3 linked regions of the Bombyx mori genome follow. The protein of the gene in region 3 interacts with the protein of the main gene of each other region in a biochemical or structural test. Links are inferred from orthologs where the notes say so. Each region holds a gene or a part of one and is shown on either strand. Other genes may lie near its edges.

Region 1 (4,270 bases), on a different chromosome or scaffold from region 3:
CATATACATATACATATCTTATCTTATATCTTTAAACGAGCAATTCTTGTATATAAATATATATATAATTTAAATCTCGGAAACGGCTCGAACGATTTTCATAAAATTTAGTATACAGGGGATTTCGGGGGCGATAAATCGAACTAGCTACGTTTTATTTTCAGAAAATGTTGTTTTATTCGTGTTTTCAACAATCAACTTTATCGATAATTTATTTACATAACCAGTTCATGTTTTATTATTATTCTGTCGGTAAGATCGAAAAATATTATTCCTATTTCATTATTTTATCAATTTGTAATTCGTATTTAAATATAATTGCTAAAAAACACAATTTATCAAAAAAAAAAAAAAACTCCAGGTCATCGAGGTACTGTTATTATATTATAAAAAAAATATTTATGTAATAATAAATATATTATTATACAAAAAAGTTTCGATCCGACGTCAAAACGCTGGGAAAGGTTGTTCTAGTGTTAATAGATAAAACATTACCTTTAAATACTCATCGTCGCCAGTCAACTCTTCGGCGCAATCGGTCAGCAGCAGAGCATCGTCACGTGTGGATTTCATCTCCATGTACATATCGTTTTCTTTCTTAACGTTCTCTGGGGCTTCTATATTATAGGGCATTCTAAGGTTACTAACAGTTTTTTTTTAATTCAGAAAATTTTATTTTTAGTTAAATCCGCTTGACCGTTTGACTGCTTGTACGGTGACCATCGCTAAATACAAATCTTATTCAATGATTTACACTCTTTCTTCAGTTAATTGAAACGCACGTACGGTTAGTGTTAGCAACGTCGTCAGGTTTGAGCCACGTGAGCTCACATACTTGTTAGGTTATGCTGACATAGGCTATCAGCTTAGGTAGGGAAAAAAACTATTCAAGATCTGGGTGTTTCTTCCTTATGCAAGTGTCAGCTGTTTAATTTGCAAGCCGTTCCCCTGACTGGTCCACAAAAAAATGTGTCATCTTTATGCCATTACAAATAGGGGAAAATCATGTTGAGACTGCTTGGGACAAGAACATTATAAAATAGTGACATCAGCTGGGTAACATAGATTTAGACAGTAAGTCATTTCAGCAAGACAGATCCACTCTCCACATCACACATGGGATAGCATGAGCAGTAAAAATTTTCAGACCATATGATCATAGCAAATTCTAACATCAACTGGCCACCAAATCAATATATTTTCAACTATTTTACGCCATACCTAATGAGAATGTGTCTACTTTACAATATGATATACAATTACAATTTACTCAAAAGATGTGTTAAAAAAATCATGATCTCTTTAAAGAGACATCCTAAACAAACTTTACAGAACATAACTATTAATATAGTTTTTTTCTATTGTCTTTGTAGGCAGTCAAACAAATCATCGACCTGAAGGTAGGCATACTCATAGGCATAAGCCATCTCTTTTTCTTTTTTAGGATGGAAGGATTACTGGTGGCCCAAAGGCCTTTCCGGTTTTACAGGACAGCTGGGAGAACTCAGACTCAGCTGGGAACCAGAAATGCTACTGGTAAAGCCAAGCTTCTGCCTAAAATATAATGTTTAACTCTTAATATTAAATCAGTTGCAAAGCTGTCATAAGTCCTGGATTGAAGGTTGGCATAGATGTTTACCAATGTAGTGAAAACCCTAATGGGCAGAGGCAATAGTGTTTTGATGTCAAAAATCAGCTTTAAGCCCTGATTAGTATAAAGGAAAAAATTATATTACTTACCTCCCATAATAAGTGCCATTATTTGTACTCCATTTTTTATATTCTGTTCATTGAGATTCATTGTCGGTTTTATAATTTTACCATTGCATATCAATTTTATTCTGAAAGAACGATAAATATATCAAGCTATGAAACTGATCCCTATTTAATCATACAGTAATGGGGTTGGAATGCCTTAAATGGCAAATATTGTGAGGAGCTATTCTTTGAGAAAAATTTCAGAGAGCATCAAATTACCTGTCAGTTCCAACACTAATCTCCTTAGCCACTGTTTCAATGAGATCACTGCCTGGCACTTCCAACTTCTTTTGAATTTTTAAGACTACAGGTTTTTGTCCTGATACATTAGCTTTCACCCTGAATGTAGCCAGTCCTGTCTCCTTGTACTCCGCATTTGCTTTGGATCGGTCAAGTGAATGCAGTTGTAATTCACGTAATGCAGAAAACACCGTTTCATCGTCTTGTAATAGCTGTGATGAGTATTTTAATGCTAGATCCTGTTAATTATAATAATAAAATATTGAAAATACAACTTTTTTTATTATGGTTCCTTTTAGTCTATGAAATTAACTCAGTATTTCGACTGTGATGTTTTTGTAGCTCTGCTATGAACACTGGTAACCAGTCTTTTTAGTTAAATAATACTAATCTCACTCGAGTTGTGTTCTATAACATTTTTCTTGTCTTGTTTGAAAACTAAGTCAAATCAACACACTGTATTGAAATAATTTATCAAGTGATATAGGCCGTTTTGTAAACTAAGTAAAATGTATTAAATCGAAAACAGTTCAGTATTAAAATACGTACAAATATAAATTAGTTTTAATTTATTAAAAACAACATACGGCACGTTTAAAGCCACATTTAAATTATAGAAAAAAATAAAAAAATAAAACGCACCCGCAAATTTTGAGAGCGATCGTTGTCAGCCTGATAATAAGGTGGTTCCCATAATTTAATCTTTTCTTCGTTCAGCTTAGCTCTTAATTTAATCAATAAATCTTCATGTTGAAGATTTAATTCCATTGTTTTGATATTTAAATAAGTATGCAAAAAATGAGATTGCAAAAATCAACACTTTGTCTTACATATCAATTGTCAATATGACGTTGACAGCTGACTTTTAGGGTTGAAAAACATCAACATGTTTGAGCAAACATTCTTAAAATATTCTGACTGCTAGCAACTTCGATCAACAATAGTGTTGATCGAAGGCTAGCAATTGAGCTCCCCACCCACCTAACATTAAGCGCTTACTAAAGTCCCTAAAGATGAAAATATGTTGATTAACTGTATTGCATCCGCCGTCCACATCACGTTTACGTTCAATGCAGAATGGCGGTAACTATCTGTACAAGCACAGAATACACTTTATCGTTCTTAAAACTTAATAATATGACTTATAGTACATAGCGGTGGCTACAAATAATTTAGTTCTAGTTTAAAATTAGCAAGATTACATTTCTAATTTGGGCAACACAAGTAACATTTCAATTGATGATATTGTGACTTAGCTTAACTAACGTATGTGATATTTTTATTTAAGGGAAAGTATATATAAAAGTTTGGGTATTTCAATTATAATCACATTCAATAAACAAACTGTACAGGTATATCTATAAATTTGTAGGTACAAACGTAATAATATTTCTAATTGCCCAAGTACTGCATTTCACACTACATTAAAATTTGAATTTAATGACATTTTCTATTAATATCAACCGTTTAATGCCACTTTCGTTACATATTTTCCAGTTTTGGACGAAGCACCATGATTATTCCTATGTTTTTTATATTTTGTGAGTCCTTTAATTTGTATTTTTGATATCCTCGGTATTCTTCGATTTTCCCGAGCTACAGATAAAAATAAAACTATTTTTATGGTATAATGTCGCGTTTATCACGACGTTTTGGACGAGCTCATGGCCCAGCTGTTGTTAGTTGGCTACCTGAACCCGTAGACATCTACAACCTAAATGCTCCCGCTCAACTGGAGAAATAGGTTTATTGGGAAATTGTTTGATCATAGCCTACTAGATAAAATCCATTTGTGGTGGAGCATTTCATTTTTTAAATGTTAATTGTTAGTTTGATTTATGTTTTCCCTCCAGCCCTTCTCATTAGGACAGAGTCGTACATCCTAATAACAGCTAATGTAGACGACGTGCAAGCTTTGGCTAAGCAGATCGTAGCTTCTCCTGTGGCTGGACAGTTGAGTAAGATGGTGCGCAGAGCAGCCAGTATCTTCAATAGGGAGTTCGGAAGGTACCCTAATTATCATCCTGGATACGATATTCAAGGTAATTTATTTTTAGTGCTCTCATGGGCAGGTTTACGTGGGACCCCCCTCATGGTACGTGGTCACAATCAGTCATGGACTACAACATTAGTGCTCTCAAAAATGTACCATTGGGTTTAGAATGAACTTCCTTTTTTATTGCTTAGGTGGACGAGCTCACAGTCCAACTGGTGTTTCGTGGTTACTGGAGCCCATAGACATGTACCACGTAAATGCGCCACCCACCTTTAG
Region 2 (4,073 bases), on a different chromosome or scaffold from region 3:
TTATTTTTCAAGAACACTAGTTTTGCTCTTGGGTGTGTTTCAAATCTTAAGACATTTCAAGTATATTTCGTTAATTTGATAGTTAAAAATGTGATTTAATTCCACAATATACTAATAAAAGCAGTGGAATACTTATTGTAGTGTATTAGTGAAGATATTTGTTGTCCTTTTAATAAAAGGATTGCGGAGTGCAGGTTGTATAAAGACAGACACACAATGAACAGATACATTACCCAACATATGTGCATAAGTTCATAATTAAATAATAAAACATAAGTTATCTTTTTGCTAATTTGTCTGTCAAATACAATGTTTGTTTCAAATTCAAATTTCAAATCAATAATAATTTAATAATGCAATAGTTATGTGTTTATTGGAGTAGGTTCAAATTTAGAAGTTTTTTTCAACTTTTTATTTGGTTTAATACAGCATATTTGTGTTCTTACTGTACTGGTTGGTTAACTAAGTTTATTTATAAATGAATATAAACCAATTTATATCAATGTAGTTGTTTGTTAGATAAAAACAAACATATACCATTATTTCAAATCCAATAATTGGTTGAATTTAATTCAATTGCAAGAAATCTTGAATATCAAATGTTGGTAAACATTCAAATCAATAATTTATATTTCAATTTAAATGTCATCATAACATACTTGTTGAATAACAAAACTTGTAAACTCTACCACTGGTTCCAAAAAGAATTACAGTACTGAGAACAACCAGTGAAACAACAAACGCAGCAAGCCTGGACTATCCATTATTCAAGATATTTGTTAAATAAGTTACATTATAAAGGTCCTTACCTCATCAAATATTTCTTTATCAAGATATGTAGCAAGCAGTAATTCTGGGATGAGGCCCGTTGGTGCATTCCCAATCAATATGTAAGGTAATAATGGTGATTTCCTGCACTTTTCCAATTCGAACCTTCCTTGTAACACTAGTACCAAATGATTGACCAGTATAGTTCTCAAACTTTGGAGCAAATCACTCAAAGGTGGTTCTGAACTCTTCTTGGGGTGTTCTCTTTCATATGAGTTTACATTATTGTAGAATTGAAGTAAATAACTAACAACTAAGCCTTGTGTGGGCATCGTTTTCTGGATTGGTAGGGCTGGTGATGGGCATTCAGGTTTATCCGCATCTGTTTCTACACTTGTTGAATTGGACAAAGAGTCCTCACCATTCTCCTCATTCAAGTTCTTTGAAGTCTCAATAATTGCAGTAAGTTTTTGATTCAATGGATCACCACCATCTGCTATTTGTATTATGACATCCATTAAAGCTTCAGATATGAGCTCAGTCAGAGAAAGTTTTGGATTATCAAGTAACGATGCTGCTACTGTTGGCACAAAAATCCCACCTGCATACAAATATTCTCTCTTTAATAAGATTAAGTATAAGTATTAAGTACAGAAAAATTAAATGTGACAAGTTTTATTCTAGAATCCTTTAAAAAACATATCTTGATTTCATAGAATTTTAAATTGAAAGAACTGTTTTAAAAAAATAACAATTTTGTTATTATTGCAAAATATTATGGATTGTTTCCAAATTAGGTAGGAAAGATTATTTCCAAACATTAACTTTCCTTTCATTCCTAATTAATATATATTAATTTACCTGCACTGTCATCTGACCATGAAACTTGAAGAATCTTTGATACAATGGTGCGTAATTGCTCTTCTGTCAACTCTGTGCAACTGACAGTTCGAGATCTATGTATTTTACGTGCCGGAGATGCTGATGAATCATCTTCAACCTTAAATTACACAATAGGTTAGAAACAATTTTACAACAAGTTACATTGGATTTTCGGTTCTTTGCTACCTCCATTGGTTCTTGCTGAGCTTCAGATTGAGAATTTCTTTCAGACACATCATCTACTTCCATTGACAAAGAACGACGAGAACAACTTGGTGAAGCATTTGTTTGTCTTGGTCGTACAGGTGATGGCTCAACAAACTGTGGTGGAGATATTGATCTTGATGTGCTATCTTCCCTTGTAGAACTCCCTTCTGAACCAGCAACAGTATTTTGCGGTAAGCTTCCCACTCTCACAGACCCACAACTTATCAATGTGTCATCACCCATTGAGTCAAAGCTACTGTACTGTCGTGTTTGTGTAAGATCTGTCATTTTTGTGTCTGGCATTTCATCCAATATATTGTTGTCAGTTTTTTCTGTTACAATTAAACCGTCTGCTGATATTTTATTTTGATCTGATTGATCTGACCTGACTTCTTCTGAGTAATTGGGCTCTTGATTTGCATTCGCTGTGTCAGGAGTGGTGGGTTCTGTAGAGCTTCTAGTTGAAGGAGCTGGGGACAATCGTAAGGGTTGCTGTGGACTGTGTAGGTCAGGAGAAGGAATTGAGGCGCCAGGGGTTACCGGAGGACTAGCTGAAGTAGGCACTGATCCTGCACTATTAAGAGCTGCGAGACGAACCAGGCGTCTTCTTCGTATCTGTAACGAATATTGACATCTTGCAGCACGTGTGAGTAAATGACAATTGCTGGGACGTTCACCATTGACGCTTTGTTTTGTTACGAAATTAGATTGGCCATACGTAGTAATAGACGGTCGTTTAAAAAAATTATTTTGACTTACCTCCTCTTGGCTCAATTCACTCATGATGAAAATTATAGAGTAGATTTTTCTATTAATTTGTTCGGCCTATTCTGTTACGTTAATTTTTCTTTCAATATTTTTAAGAAAAAGAAGCACAAGCCACACAACGAGTCAGTCACCTCGCTCAGCTGTTTGACGTTTGAGGCTGCACAGTGCACAATGACAATGACGAAGTTAATAATGAAAATACACGCGTCATCTTTGTAGATGAATTAGTATAAAGAGTATGTCTCTTTTTGTGATATTTGAAACAACGTAAACAAAAAGAGATAGCACCAAATATGACATTCACCCACTGTAAAAATGTTACCCTAGCAATAAAATCATTCTAGTACTATATAATTAAAGTTTTTTTTAATAATTTTCATACCTACCTACTTTTAGCATTACCCTTCCTGGAGGGCTGAGCCTTTGCTCGGCCAATGGCTCAAAATAATCCGAGTAGAATATTTAATTCTTACACAAACGCAAATCTGTATATGTGTAACATTTATTTGATTTTTGCGGCATAACGTAGTGTAAGTGATTGCAATATTAAAATTTAAAATAATAAATTAATGTGTTTAAAAATGTGTAAGTCGTATGATTTGTTCCGAACTTTTCCCTTTAAGTAAATGAATTCAGTCAATTCTCTGCAGTGTTTTCCTGCAGAGCTGCAAAATCCTGTTATTTGCCATGAATAGGTACGTACGGACAGTAACCAGAAAGAATAACCTGACTCATAAAAAAAATCACATTCACAACTTCTCTTCACTGATACCAGTCAGTCACTTACTTTTTGCATGGAAGTAAGTAGGTAGGTAGGTGAAATAAAAAAGGCAGTGCCTAAAAGTCAATTTAAACGGGAAAAAGTGGCAAGAATAGTTACTATGAATTTATAAAGAGCAATAGCGAGACTGGTAATTTTCGGGGCAGGATTTGGTTAGTTCTTTTAGTTCTTTACGTGTCTCTGCTTGTTTTGAGAAAACTTTTTTGAGGGTAGTACGATTTACAAAATGATATACCTATTAGTCCCAATAGAGGTAGGTTTTTTTTCTAATAATAGTAAATGTATAAATGATCTTATACTAGTCAATAATAAGCATATTTTAACACCATTTATTGACGATATTTTTTGGCCATTAATTTATTATTACATTCCATAATTTGATCTAATGATGACAAAAGTCTACATTTAACGATTTTTGTTTACTCTTTGAACTTAAAATGAAGAAGTTTTGGGTTTTTGTAATTTAGTCTTGAATTAACATGAATAGTTATTCTGTATCGTTATTTATATGTATTCTTCTATTTTTCTACTGTACTTGTAGATAGACGATCATGCGGCCTACTTGATGATGAGTGGTTACCGTAGCTCATGAAGACATTCTGTTTAAAACTCAAAACTCACTATTTAAACCCCACAATTTTTTTCTGTCTGTTTTAACGTCGACGTA
Region 3 (4,122 bases):
TGTTAGAATGTTTGAGCTGAATCTCAAGCTGACTCAAATCAAAACAGTTGTAATTTATGCATTAGTAAAACTTGCAGTAACAGTTTTGATACATCACTCAAGTACAATCTTTCAGAAGCTGGATATTTCGGTGCCACACAGGCTGATAGAAAGAAACGTAGTGATTTGTGTATTAATTTGTGATTATGTATAATCAATGTAAATGTTTATGTGTAATCAAAGGCACTCTAGCGAAACCTACGTAAATTCACAGTAGATAGATTCTAAGCATATGTTAGCATCGGAAGGGCATTGTTTATTATAAGCTTTTATTGACAGGCAATACGGATACAGGACTTTACTGTCAATATCTGATTGACAATCAAACAACAAAATGGTAATTTTTTTATAATGATAATACAAGTTTTTTTTTTATTGACCTTGTAGGCAAACAATCACTCGGTCCACCTAATGGTGAGAAATTACTGTTGCTTATAGAAGTCAGTGATCCCAGAACCACAACCAAGACGTTGCCCACTACTAAGGACTCTCTATAAACCTCGTTAGGAGAACCACGTATATTTTTAACCAGTCCGAAAATATTGAGTTTCGTTGAGAAGCATTAACACATTCATAATATAGCCCTAAGCTTAAACTCACAAATCTTCTTCAGCCCCTTCAGAATTTTTAGGTACTGTTCGTTTATTGTACTGTACTGTAGTATTTTTTAAATCAAAGTCTCCAAAGTTTTCCTTAATGGTCACTACCAACTTGGTAACAAACAAAACAGTAGTTGGTAGTACCAACAATATAGATCAGGTTTTTCTAAGTTCCTATTTTAAATAAAGTGAGTTTTTTATTCCACTTGGTAACTAATTTTATTTCATACTTTTTAGTCAATTGATTCTGTAAAATAAATTCATTCTATGCAGGAAACAGACTTAAACAGATAATGTTTTTGGTAAGAGATATCTTTAATTATAAAAAACAATGAATAAATATTATTCCTCTATTAATTTTGTCAGAGACACTATGTTGAAATAATATATGACATATCACTTTTATTAGGTGTTTTTATTTTGTCTTTTCTTAGCGCTTGTGTTACCAGATTTTTTACTTAGTTATATATTGTGTGTCTAATAAATAAATAAAAAATAAAAATAAACAACCAACTGACATCTCATTTGCTAAAATCCTATAAAATATTTAAGCTGAGGAGTATAACATACATAAGTTCACATAACTTGGAATAGACCTTATAAATTTAATAATCAGTTGAAAAACACTGGACAACAGTTTACTACAGTAACAGTTTACCGGTGGTATTATAAGCCTGGGTTGAGTGCAGTCATGCATTCCAATTTGACAGATAGGTTGGCCATTGTCATACAGTTTTTTTTCTTTCTTTTCTTTATTGCTACGATGGATGGACAAGCTCAGGACCCATCTGATGTTAAGTGGTAAACTGGTCTCAGTTTTACAGTTATAACAGTCACTCAATCTACTCTTTGGACCAAAATGAATTACAGCTTCAAGGCAACTGAGGTTGGTGTCACATTCACATTATGATGTCTATGGACTCCTCACATAGGCCGTGAGGACATTCACCCATCTTTGCAATGAATAAATAAAAAAAGTAGTCTTACAGCTTTACTATTGACCTAAAGAGATAAAAAGGTTATTCAACTCTGATGGTTATAACAATGGATATTTTGCATCATATAAACTATGTTACAAAGGTTCGTTCTTTTCTATAGATTAATGGGGAAGGACAGAGACATTTTAATCATTGTTCTTTATTGTTAAATTATTAAAAACAGTAGTTACATTTTTTTTTTTTGCATGGTGCCTATGCGTCTTACAAAATACTGTATTTTATTAACAAAACAATAGTTTTAGGGATGTTCTTTTGTTTGTTTGATTTGAAAAAAAAAACCTTTATGTGTTATGTTTATGTTAATTTTATTATTTGAAGGTTAGGATGACAGACGAAATTTACTTTTTTTTTGTTCAAAGCAAAAGTACTAATATTGCTATTTAAGGTTTAGTGAATGAACCAAACATCTTGTCCAGAGACAAAGCACTGACCTGTGAAAGTGCCACGACTGAGTTGTCATCGCTGACTGCTTCTTCGACAATGAGACGGTTGGGTCTGTCCTTGCGACGGAGGATCGCGGTCGATAAATCATCAGGGCTGGAATACAAGACAATTATGACTACTCTTCAGTTTAACATTTATTTCTCACTAGTAGAAATACTTGGGTTTTGTTTGGTTTAAGTAGAAGGATTAATGTCTTTTCATTAAGATTTTTGTATTTAAAATGGTATTGGTATTTTTTAATGATTTTTGGACATAAGTTCAAACTGATTATCACTGGTGCTGAGGATGATGTTTCACTTAATTACACATTTCTAAACATATATTTCGAAAATTTGGTGAGTTCGGGTGCTCAATTTCATTCATTTTTATAGGAATGATTTCAAAATGCCGAAATTCTTTTGTGTTAATTTGTCATCTCACCGTCTCTTAAATAGAACAAACTTGTTTTCAGAACTAAGTACTCTTGCATTAGAAAGTTACAATGCTGTAGAATAATAAAATTGCTGTTGTAGGTCATTGATGAAAATAAAAAAATCACTACACTTTAAAAGTTTAATTCTCGACATGATGACAAGCCAAATTCGAAATGCATTCACAATGTACTTCGCCGATTTCGTGTAAATTTTACATGAAACTCCGTTTTGAATATTTGACGAATATAATTTAGCACTCACCTTTTATTATCTGCCATTTTATTCAAAATTTATTGTTAGAATCTAAGAACTATTATAATTTTTATAACGCCAAATAATTACTTGGCGAACTTCAATCCTAGCGTGACGTTGCCGTATTTCATTTGTTCATCGATAAGCTTCGTGTTGCCATAGAAAATAATACCATAACTAAAAGACCCATTTCTGACTAACTCTTCAAGTTTTAATCGATTGTAACCATCTCTCGATTGCAATCATTGATTACCACCACAGAGTTGCAAAATGTCTCAATCTAATATATAAAATTCTCGTGTCACAGTTTTCGTTGCCATACTCCTCCGAAACGGCTTGACCGATTTTGATGAAATTTTTTGTGCTTATCCGGTATCTATGAGAATCGGCCAACATCTATTTTTCATCCCCCTAAATGTTAGGGGTAGTCCACCCCTAAATTTTTTTATTTATTTTTTAGACAAAATTTTTCATTTCTATTTTTTTATGATACAACATACAAAAATACATACAATCCTCAATTTTCACCTCTCTACGATCAACCCTTATTTTTTATTTGCTAATTAAAAACTTCTAAAAATTTTTGCGAGAATTTTGTTTGTATTTTGTCATGACTTAAAATAAAAAAAATTATATTACTCTCAATTTTCACTCTTATACGATCAACCCCTATTTTTCCATCCCGATCAATATTTTTTTTATTCTATGCACAGATCCGCAATAAGGTTGCAAGATGGCAATCAAATATTATAATTGTAGTACGATAAACTCTTATTCAGAGTTTATAATTTCAAGTTCCTTTAATTATGATTTTTTTTAAATTGAATTTGATCTCCCGCCCTCGCCGGTCGACTACTGATCAACTATCAATCGATCAGCTATCCCCGCCAGGTGTCACCACTCATCCAGCAAACATCACGTAGTAGGGATGAGACGAAGCCGGTCTCCTGTCTTACTTATTCACTATACATCATAGATTATACACTTAATATATTTGAGAGCTATACAATACTATACATTTTTCAGCCATGTTTTTTTGGTTTTATTTGTGTATCAATAGTATGTTCAGTAGGTCTGAGAGTCGGCTACTATCTATTTTTCAAACCCCTAAGTGAAAAGGGTTGTCGACCCCAAACATTTATTTTTTATTTTAATTTTTTGGATATTTTTTTTTGTTTACAATGAGGTATTATGTGGTTAAATGAGGTTTTTTTTTCTACAGTAGAATTTCCCTAGAAATCTTATTTAAGGCAACACAACGTTTGCCGGGTCAGCTAGTGGATTTATAAATTCTTTAAAATTGGGGTAATTTAAGACGCGAATTATAAATTTCGAAATTAAAAAAATAGAGGTTTAATCAAAGATCGCCATAGAGGT

Evidence for each region.
Region 1: the proteins of Ter94 (region 3) and NEDD8 ultimate buster 1 form a complex in vitro, tested with the Homo sapiens proteins (2 studies listed by BioGRID). The link is inferred for Bombyx mori from reciprocal best matches to the Homo sapiens genes VCP and NUB1.
Region 2: the proteins of Ter94 (region 3) and ubiquitin conjugation factor E4 B form a complex in vitro, tested with the Homo sapiens proteins (2 studies listed by BioGRID and IntAct). The link is inferred for Bombyx mori from reciprocal best matches to the Homo sapiens genes VCP and UBE4B.

The regions. Positions count from the first base shown.
Region 1 is NC_085120.1:2,113,267-2,117,536, reverse strand, and holds the start of NEDD8 ultimate buster 1, read right to left. Parts: upstream 2,854-4,270; 5' UTR 2,767-2,853; coding exon 2,641-2,766; intron 2,238-2,640; coding exon 1,978-2,237; intron 1,842-1,977; coding exon 1,741-1,841; intron 618-1,740; coding exon 496-617; intron 1-495. Other genes in the region: uncharacterized protein LOC101747105, read left to right, coding at 3,020-3,081, 3,496-3,539, 3,852-4,040. UniProt on the Homo sapiens protein: Specific down-regulator of the NEDD8 conjugation system. Recruits NEDD8, UBD, and their conjugates to the proteasome for degradation. Isoform 1 promotes the degradation of NEDD8 more efficiently than isoform 2.
Region 2 is NC_085109.1:10,812,160-10,816,232, reverse strand, and holds the start of ubiquitin conjugation factor E4 B, read right to left. Parts: upstream 2,854-4,073; 5' UTR 2,641-2,853; coding exon 2,617-2,640; intron 2,473-2,616; coding exon 1,837-2,472; intron 1,769-1,836; coding exon 1,630-1,768; intron 1,370-1,629; coding exon 810-1,369; intron 1-809. UniProt on the Homo sapiens protein: Ubiquitin-protein ligase that probably functions as an E3 ligase in conjunction with specific E1 and E2 ligases. May also function as an E4 ligase mediating the assembly of polyubiquitin chains on substrates ubiquitinated by another E3 ubiquitin ligase.
Region 3 is NC_085125.1:11,209,030-11,213,151, forward strand, and holds the start of Ter94 (transitional endoplasmic reticulum ATPase TER94), read right to left. Parts: upstream 2,859-4,122; 5' UTR 2,772-2,858; coding exon 2,755-2,771; intron 2,174-2,754; coding exon 2,068-2,173; intron 1-2,067. UniProt on the Homo sapiens protein: Necessary for the fragmentation of Golgi stacks during mitosis and for their reassembly after mitosis. Involved in the formation of the transitional endoplasmic reticulum (tER).